2 linked regions of the Ovis aries genome follow. The protein of the gene in region 1 interacts with the protein of each later gene in a pairwise test. Links are inferred from orthologs where the notes say so. Each region holds a gene or a part of one and is shown in the gene's direction. Other genes may lie near its edges.

The links.
Region 2: the proteins of IPO13 (region 1) and PBX4 interact in binary tests that used the Homo sapiens proteins (3 or more experiments, as listed by UniProt). The link is inferred for Ovis aries from reciprocal best matches to the Homo sapiens genes IPO13 and PBX4.

Annotation. Positions count from the first base shown.
Region 1 is NC_056054.1:18,587,192-18,591,207, forward strand, and holds the start of IPO13 (importin-13), read left to right. Parts: upstream 1-1,216; 5' UTR 1,217-1,833; coding exon 1,834-1,917; intron 1,918-3,680; coding exon 3,681-4,016. UniProt on the Homo sapiens protein: Functions in nuclear protein import as nuclear transport receptor. Serves as receptor for nuclear localization signals (NLS) in cargo substrates.
Region 2 is NC_056058.1:3,519,146-3,523,291, forward strand, and holds the start of PBX4 (pre-B-cell leukemia transcription factor 4), read left to right. Parts: upstream 1-1,346; 5' UTR 1,347-1,416; coding exon 1,417-1,568; intron 1,569-4,146.

The DNA of each region.
Region 1 (4,016 bases):
CGGTACTTCAAACATTTTCTTGATAAAGATTTGTTGAATGACTAGATTCCCACTGGACTCTGCTTACCAGCTAATCAAGCCTCCTCCTCCCCAGCCTCTTGCTGTTGCTATTCAAGCTAAGATCAAGTTTCTCCTCCTCAGGGAAGCCTTCATCCACCTCAGGCCTCAGTGGCTTCCTCCACTGAACACAAGAACAGAGGTCCTTTCCTTTTTTATTTTATTTTATTTTTCCACTTGAGGTAGAGACTGCTGGCGACTTGGGCCAACCAGATCTGTGGCTGATCTCTGCTACCCTCGCTGTGTGTCCAGCGAAAAGATAAGCTCAACTTTCCTCAACTTCGGCTTCCTCATCTGAAAATAGTGAATGAAAATGCCCACCACAGAGTTGCTCCGAGAATTGGCCTTAAGGTATGCAATGTGCTGTTCCTTGCACTTAAATATCAGCTATTTTAATGACTCACAAAGAGAAGTTGCTTCCGAGAACCTAGTGAAATTCTCCAAGCACTGTCCATGGTAAGTAGTTTCCCGGTTGCTCGCTGGGTGGCCCTGAGAGCCATCCTTTTTTATTCCTGAGGCGCGCCAAGCCCCTTTCCTCCTCGGTGTTCTCACGACAGTACCCTTCCTGGGACCGAGGTCTTGCCGCCAGGGGAGCACCAGATTAACCTGTGTCCCCCCAGCCCCTCGGTCCCCTCCCAAACACACACCTTAACCTCCAGCCTGGCTTCCCAGCTCTATCCCGCCGGCCTCTAGACTCACGTCCTCTTAGGAAGCTGCCAGCAGCGCCTCTAGCCGGTCGAACTTGGCCGCAATAGGCCTAAGGCTTCCTGGGCTCGGCTGATCCTCAACCCACGTGCTCCCGGCCTCCGCCGCAAGGCACCGCCTTCCCGCTGGGCGCCATGCGGACTACATTTCCCAGGGTGCGCAGCGGCGGGGCCTTAGCTCGGGTGGTGAAGAGGGGGGCCGCCTCAAGCGGCGCGCCGTTCCGCGGCCTGCTCAGAGGCGCGCGGGCAGGCGCGAGGATACGAGAGGGGACCCGGAATGAGTTTCCGCGCAGTTCCGCCGTGCCGTGCCGGGCTGTGCCGGCCGGGTGGGGCTAGGGCAGGCGCGGGTCCGAGAGGGACGGCTTCTGAGTCGGCGGTGCCGCGGACAGGCGCTTGGGGCAGCCCGTGCCTCGCTGAGGTCCCCGCCCCGTCCCGGCCGGGCCGGCTCGCCTGTCAGTCACTGGGGCGGAGGCAGCGGCGGTAGCAGGGCCGGAGACGGAGGGTGAGAAGAGCGCGGGCCTGGCGGAGCCGAGGGGACCTGCCACAGCCCCTTAACTCCACGGACTCTTCGCCCGAGATTTGCGAAGCTGTACCCCTGCGCTTCGTTGGACGCCTCCGTAACCCGCGAAGGGCTCTCTCCCCCGTAACCTCCCACCCCCGTGACCTCCTCCTAGAACCCGAGATCTCACTAGGGTGTTGTGGTACAGGCCATCGACCCTGTGACCCCTTGGTTTTCCCCAGGCCTCGATTCCCTATGACTCCCTCTTCATAGATTCTGGGGACAGAACCCTGATCTACCATCAGGACCCCCGCCTGCAAACTCCTCACTGACGGCTTTCTCCTAGGAGTTCCCCTCAGTGGGTCTCCTCCTAAGAGCACCCCTTTTGGCCTCTGGCTAGCCCCCCACCCTCAACCGAGGTGGGGCGGCCTCGGCAGCCATGCTCGCCCTGGGACCCCTGTCACCCCACCACTTCCTGGGTACCCAAGCCGGAGTCTAGCAGGGGGCCAGCAGCCAAGAGGCTGGGGCAGGAGACAGGCCACGGTCCACCTCCCTGCTGGGGAGGGAGCAAAGATGGAGCGGCGGGAGGAGCAGCCGGGGGCTGCAGGGGCTGGAGCAGCGCCAGCCTTGGACTTCACGGTGGAGAACGTGGAGAAGGTATGAGGGCCCTGGGGAGGGGCACTCCAGTGACAGAGCAGAAGTTCTGGGGACTGACACTAATGCCAGGGCCCAGGCCTGGGCTGGGTGCCCGTTGGGATGGTGCCTCCAGAGCACCTGGCATTTGCTGTCTCTCTGGGCCAGCCGACAGCAATGCAATGGTGTCTTAGGCTATTTTTGGCCTTCCGTAGACACCGGTCCTCTGTGGACACGCTAGGGTCTTGGGATGGTCCCTCCAGGGTGCTGATGGCTTAGACCCTCCAGCCAGACTGGCCACTCTCCAGCTCCATGGGAAATGCATGAGCAGTGCAGTAAGAAACCAGGAATGAGGGAGACTTGCAGCTCAGTCTCCAGAAACCAGAGTGATGCTGAGCCATCCTGGCCCTGTTTGGTTGAGCAGGGGCTCAGAAAATAATCTGAAACTAAAACAATCTGGGTTGTGTTTTCACTTTTCCTTGGAGAAGGGTCCTTCGGTTATTGGATGGAGGCCAGACCACTCCCGGGCAGGCGGAAGTAGGGCTGGCCCCTTGGTTTTGTGCTGGATCCAAGGAGCCTGGTCCTGCTGGCAGCTTCAGGGTCCTTCCCTACTCACCTGCCCACATGGCTTCCTGCCATGGCACTCTCAGGCTCCCCCACTGCTCAGTCTGTCTTTTTCAAACTGCTTCTCTGTGTCTTTGCTGGGTTCTGCCCCCAGAGGCTGGGAATGTAGAAATACTTTCCACCCTGGGGTGGATGGGGGAGAAGGGGCTATCGTGGTGGAAAACAGGGAATGGTTGCAGATACTCATTTGTTATTCTTGAGCCCCGTTTACCATACCCAGTGGTAAGGATGCATCTTTCTGCTTCTGTTCTCTGCCTGCCTCAGCATCCCAAGGGTCAGTGGCCATAACTGGCTGTCAGGGGTACAGACAGGGCTCAACCTACTTGGATGGAGCCTGCTTAGGGGGTGAGAGTCCTGGCCTCACTCATCCACCCCTTGGGGCTGGGCAGTGTTGGCATGGTGGCGCACTGTTCCATGTGCCTCCAGGGAGATAAACCACTGTTTTCCTACTGTGTGAAGTCCTAATGGAATTGGGACCCTGGGGATTTAGCTAGTTGAGAGCTCCAGGCTAGGCATTTGCCAGGGCTGCAGGCCAAGACTTCTCTGGACCAGCTTTTGGACCCTCTTGTATGCTCTCTGAGGAGTGTTCTCACCCTCCCTTCCAGTTTGTCTTTGCCCTAGGGCTGCCTGGCAAAGTCTTAGTCCTGCTCAGATTTCACAGTGGCTTTGGTGCCAGCATCTGGAGTGACCTAGGGATGATCCTGGGGGAGCTAAATGGAGCTGTTGGAGTAGATAAGAGCAGCTGTGCCTGGGAGGGTTGGAGGCGGTGGGTGGCTCAGGCTGTTCCATGCTCTTCTCAGGCTTAGCTTCTTCCTTATGGAGCCACTCCTTCCACCTGGGCCTTGCCCTTTACCTCAGGTGCTTTTCCTTTGGGGAACTTGGCCTCCTCTTTTGCTGCTTCCCTGCAGAAGTTCACGCTCCCAACCCCTAAGCTTTTGCTATAAAGAGAAGAGGCTATGGTGGAGTGTGGGCAAGTTCGGGCTCTCAAGATCCCGGCCGGACCCCAGGTCCATGAAGCACTGCTGAGCCTGAGCTCTCCCTTCCCGCTCAGCCCCCTGGTCAGAAAGAGAGGACAGTTTTGCAGGACCGAGTCATGGCCTGTGTTGTGGGCTCTGGCAGGACCAGAGTGGCCAGCACCTGCTCAGTCTTGTGCTGTCCTGCAGGCGCTGCACCAGCTCTACTATGACCCCAACATTGAGAACAAGAACCTGGCTCAAAAGTGGCTGATGCAGGCCCAGGCGTCCCCTCAGGCCTGGCACTTCAGCTGGCAGCTCCTGCAGCCGGACAAGGTGCCTGAGATCCAGTACTTTGGGGCCAGCGCCCTACACATCAAGATCTCTCGCTACTGGAGTGACATCCCTACTGACCAGTATGAGAGCCTAAAGGCACAGCTCTTCACCCAGATCACCCGCTTTGCCAGTGGCTCCAAGATTGTGCTGACTCGGCTGTGCGTGGCACTGGCCTCGCTAGCTCTCAGCATGATGCCCGACGCTTGGCCA
Region 2 (4,146 bases), on another chromosome or scaffold:
GTGGTCTAGTACTTCTGTTAACGGGCCATGTCGTGGTTTTCACATTAGATGGTGTTCGCATTTCCTCTCCAACAGTAGTGGGAAGAAGTTTCTGAAATGTTCACAGGAAATTGAAGTTCCTTTCTGAGCCTGTGTCAGAAATCTGTCCCCGAAGCAAACGGGCTCGAGGAGGTCCCATGACTTTGGAGAAGTGATTTATGTCCAATAATAAATCCTTTTCTCTCACACAAAAATCCTCTGATGGTGGGAGTCCTAACAGCTAGAAACAAAGGCCTGTGAAGATTCACTCTGCTTTGGGGATGCAGCAGGGTAGGTCCTCAGAAAGCATCCTTCCCGTGCTAGCGGAATGCTGTAGAGCGAAAGAATGAATAAACAAGCAAGGTCACTCTTAAGCTGAATCTTGAAAGGTGAATTGGTTTCTGCAGCTGAGAAAATCATTCAGTTTTAACTCCCAGCCACCATCACCACATACTCTAGTGCCACCCATGGAACACTGGAGGTGCAGCAGGGGGAGCCAGGAGGCCGGAAGCCCCAACCCACCTGATGGGACCTAGGCTGAGGGACGCACTAGCTCACTGAGCAGAGATCTGGGGCTCAGGGTTTCTGCAGATTGTGGTGGGGGGCTGTTGATGGGGTTCTGAAAGGCAAGGGAAGGTCTGAAAATAAAGGGTGGCTTGAAGTAAGAGTGGAGTGCCTGAGAAGTTAGGATCTGAGATGTGTAGGTTCCTGAGGAATGCTCTGAGACATGGGAGCCTCTGAAAAGGGGAGGAGGGTGGGCTCTGGCTCTGAGGAGAAGTAAAGTGCCTCTGAGCAGGAGCGGTCGCTGTGAGGAAATGCGGAAGGCAGAGATGTGAGAGATGGGAGTCTCCAAAGCAGAACAAAACTGCGTCGCCCTCTCCGGCTGGAAGAATGTGTGCTTAGTCGCTCAGTCCGATCCCGTGAACTGTACCCCTCCAGGCTCCTCTGTCCATGGGGATTCTCCAGGCAAGAATACTGGAGTGAGTTGCCATGCTCTACTCTAGGGGATTTTCCCAACCCAGGGATCGAACCCAGGTCTCCCGCATTGCAGGCGGATTCTTTACGGTCTGAGCCAGCGGGGAAGAGGGAGGGGGTTAAAATGGAAAGCGCCGTTGCCTCAGCAACCTCCAAAAGAGTCCTAGGCCGTTGAGAGGGGCTGGTGGGGGCGTGTCTCTAGGCGGTGCGGGGATGCTTGGGCGGCGGTGGTTGGCTGGCGGCGGTAGTAGGGCGTGTCCCTAGGCGGGGCGCAGCCGCCTGGCCGTCGGCGGTTGGCCGTAGGCGGCGCCGAGGGCCGGGGCTCCGGGGTGAGCGCACCGGGCGCACGGACTGCAGCAGTTGGCTACGACGTCTGCGCGAGCTCTCCAGGCTCGCCAGCTCCTGGTTGAGCACCCGCAGCTCATGGACGCTCCGCAGCGCCCGCCGCGCCCCGCGCCGCCACCGCCCGCCCCGCGCCGCTCGCCGCCCGGGCCCCCACCGGGCTCCAACACAGGAGACGTCCTGCAGCAGATCATGGCCATTACCGACCAGAGCCTGGACGAGGCGCAGGCCAGGTGCTGGCGCGGATTCGGCGGGGGGCCATCCAAAGTCGCTTCACTGAAGGGGGCGGGCCGAGGGGCCAGGACCGGGGCAGCGGGGGTCGTGGGGGTGAGGAAGGTGCAAGGTGAGAGATGCGATGAGTCTCTGGGCGGAGAGAGGGAGGGCAGGGCGCATGGGAGGGGGAGGCTTGAGGAGGACTGAAGCCGGATTCTGAGGCCGAAGGGACGTGAGGGGTTAAAATGGAACAGATTGAAAGGGAGCTTATGGAGCTAAGCAGTTGAGTGATAGATTTTAAGAGCTCGTCCTGAGGTGAGAGGGATGGGTTTAAGGAGAGTTTGTGGATGGAGAGGTTTATGGTGAAAGGTGGTTTCAAAGTTTATGAAATGTAAGAGGGAAGAGTTTTGGAGATGAGGGGTGTAAGAGCTGAGAGGTGGGTTCACACAGGATTTGTGAATAATGGACAACTGAATGAATCAGTGGTATTTATGAAGATGGGAAATTGAGGGGGCCGGTCATGGAGAATGAGTTGTGGGAAATAAGACTGGAGAATAAAAAGATGGTGTCATTTGATTTGGGAATGATCCAGTAAAAACATCAGTGGGGAAGCTGAGTGGAGACAAAGGATCCCCCTCTTTCTTTAAATTAATTTGGCGAATATTTGTTTGATACTATGTGTGGGGCACGGAGCGGGGTGCTGTCATAGCTACTGTTGTCAAGCTAATTGTTTGACAGAGAGAAAATAATAACAAAACTAAGTTGTGAGGAAAACTGTAAGTAAAGGGATGGAAAGCTGTGGGAAGCCGGGTGGAGAGGGCACCACACCTTCAGAAGCCCCAAGGTGGGAAAGGGCAGGAAGAAAGCAGAGCTAGGGACTGAAAGTCCCCAGTAGAGTGGAGAGAGTCTGGAACCAAGATCATATGGGAATGACAAGCTTCGGGAAGGAGTCTGGGTTTTATTTCAGGTATAGTGGGAAAATCACAGTGGTTTTTATGTCTCACCTCCACCTACCATTTGTCAGCCAGCCAGGATTGGTAGAAGGTGCTTCACAAGGCAGCCCATTATGTTTGGGGTCTGCTTGAATTATTAGAACTAACATTATTAGATAATTAGATAACTAACATGATTATTAGAATTACTAGAACTAACCTTTTAGAACTAACACCCAAAAAAGATGTCCTTTTCATTATAGGGGACTGGAATGCAAAAGTAGGAAGTCAAGAAACACCTGGAATAACAGGCAAATTTGGCCTTGGAATACGGAATGAAGCAGGGCAAAGACTAATAGAGTTTTGCCAAAAAAATGGACTGGTCATAGCAAATACCCTCTTCCAACAACACAAGAGAAGACTCTACACATGGACCTCACCAGATGGTAAACACTGAAATCAGATTGATTATATTCTTTGCAGCCAAAGATGGAGAAACTCTATACAGGCAACAAAAACAAGACCAGGAGCTGACTGTGGCTCAGATCATCAATTCCTTACTGCCAAGTTCAGACTTAAATTGAAGAAAGTAGGGAAAACCACTAGACCATTCAGGTATGACCTAAATCAAATCCCTTATGATTATACAGTGGAAGTGATAAATAGATTTAAGGACCTAGATCTGATAGATAGACTGCCTGATGAACTATGGAATGAGGTTCATGACATTGTACAGGAGACAGGGATCAAGACCATCCCCATGGAAAAGAAATGCAAAAAAGCAAAATGGCTGTCTGGGGAGGCCTTACAAATAGCTGTGAAAAGAAGAGAGGCGAAAAGCAAAGGAGAAAAGGAAAGATAAGCATCTGAATGGAGAGTTCCAAAGAATAGCAAGAAGAGATAAGAAAGCCTTCAGCAATCAATGCAAAGAAATAGAGGAAAAGAACAGAATGGGAAAGACTAGAGATCTCTTCAAGAAAATTATAGATACCAAGGGAACATTTCATGCAAAGATGGGCTTGATAAAGGACAGAAATGGTCTGGACCTAACAGAAGCAGAAGATATTAAGAAGAGGTGGCAAGAATACACAGAAGATCTTCACGACCAAGATAATCACGATGGTGTGATCACTCACCTAGAGCCAGACATCCTGGAGTATAAAGTCAAGTGGGCCTTAGAAAGCTTCACTAAGAACAAAGCTAGTGGAGGTGATGGAATTCCAGTTGAGCTATTTCAAATCCTGAAAGATAATGCTGTGAAAGTGCTGCACTCAATATGCCAGCAAATTTGGAAAACTCAGCAGTGGCCACAGGACTGGAAAAGGTCAGTTTTCATTCCAATTCCAAAGAAAGGCAATGCCAAAGAATGCTCAAACTACCGCATAATTGCACTCATCTCACATGCTGGTAAAGTAATGCTCAAAATTCTCCAAGCCAGGCTTCAGCAATACATGAACCGTGAACTTCCTGATGTTCAAGCAGGAAAAGGCAGAGGAACCAGAGATCAAATTGCCAATATCCGCTGGATCATGGAAAAAGCAAGAGAGTTCCAGAAAAACATCTATTTCTGCTTTATTGACTATGCCAAAGCCTTTGACTGTGTGGATCACAATAAACTGTGGAAAATTCTGAAAGAGATGGAAATACCAGACCACCTGACCTGCCT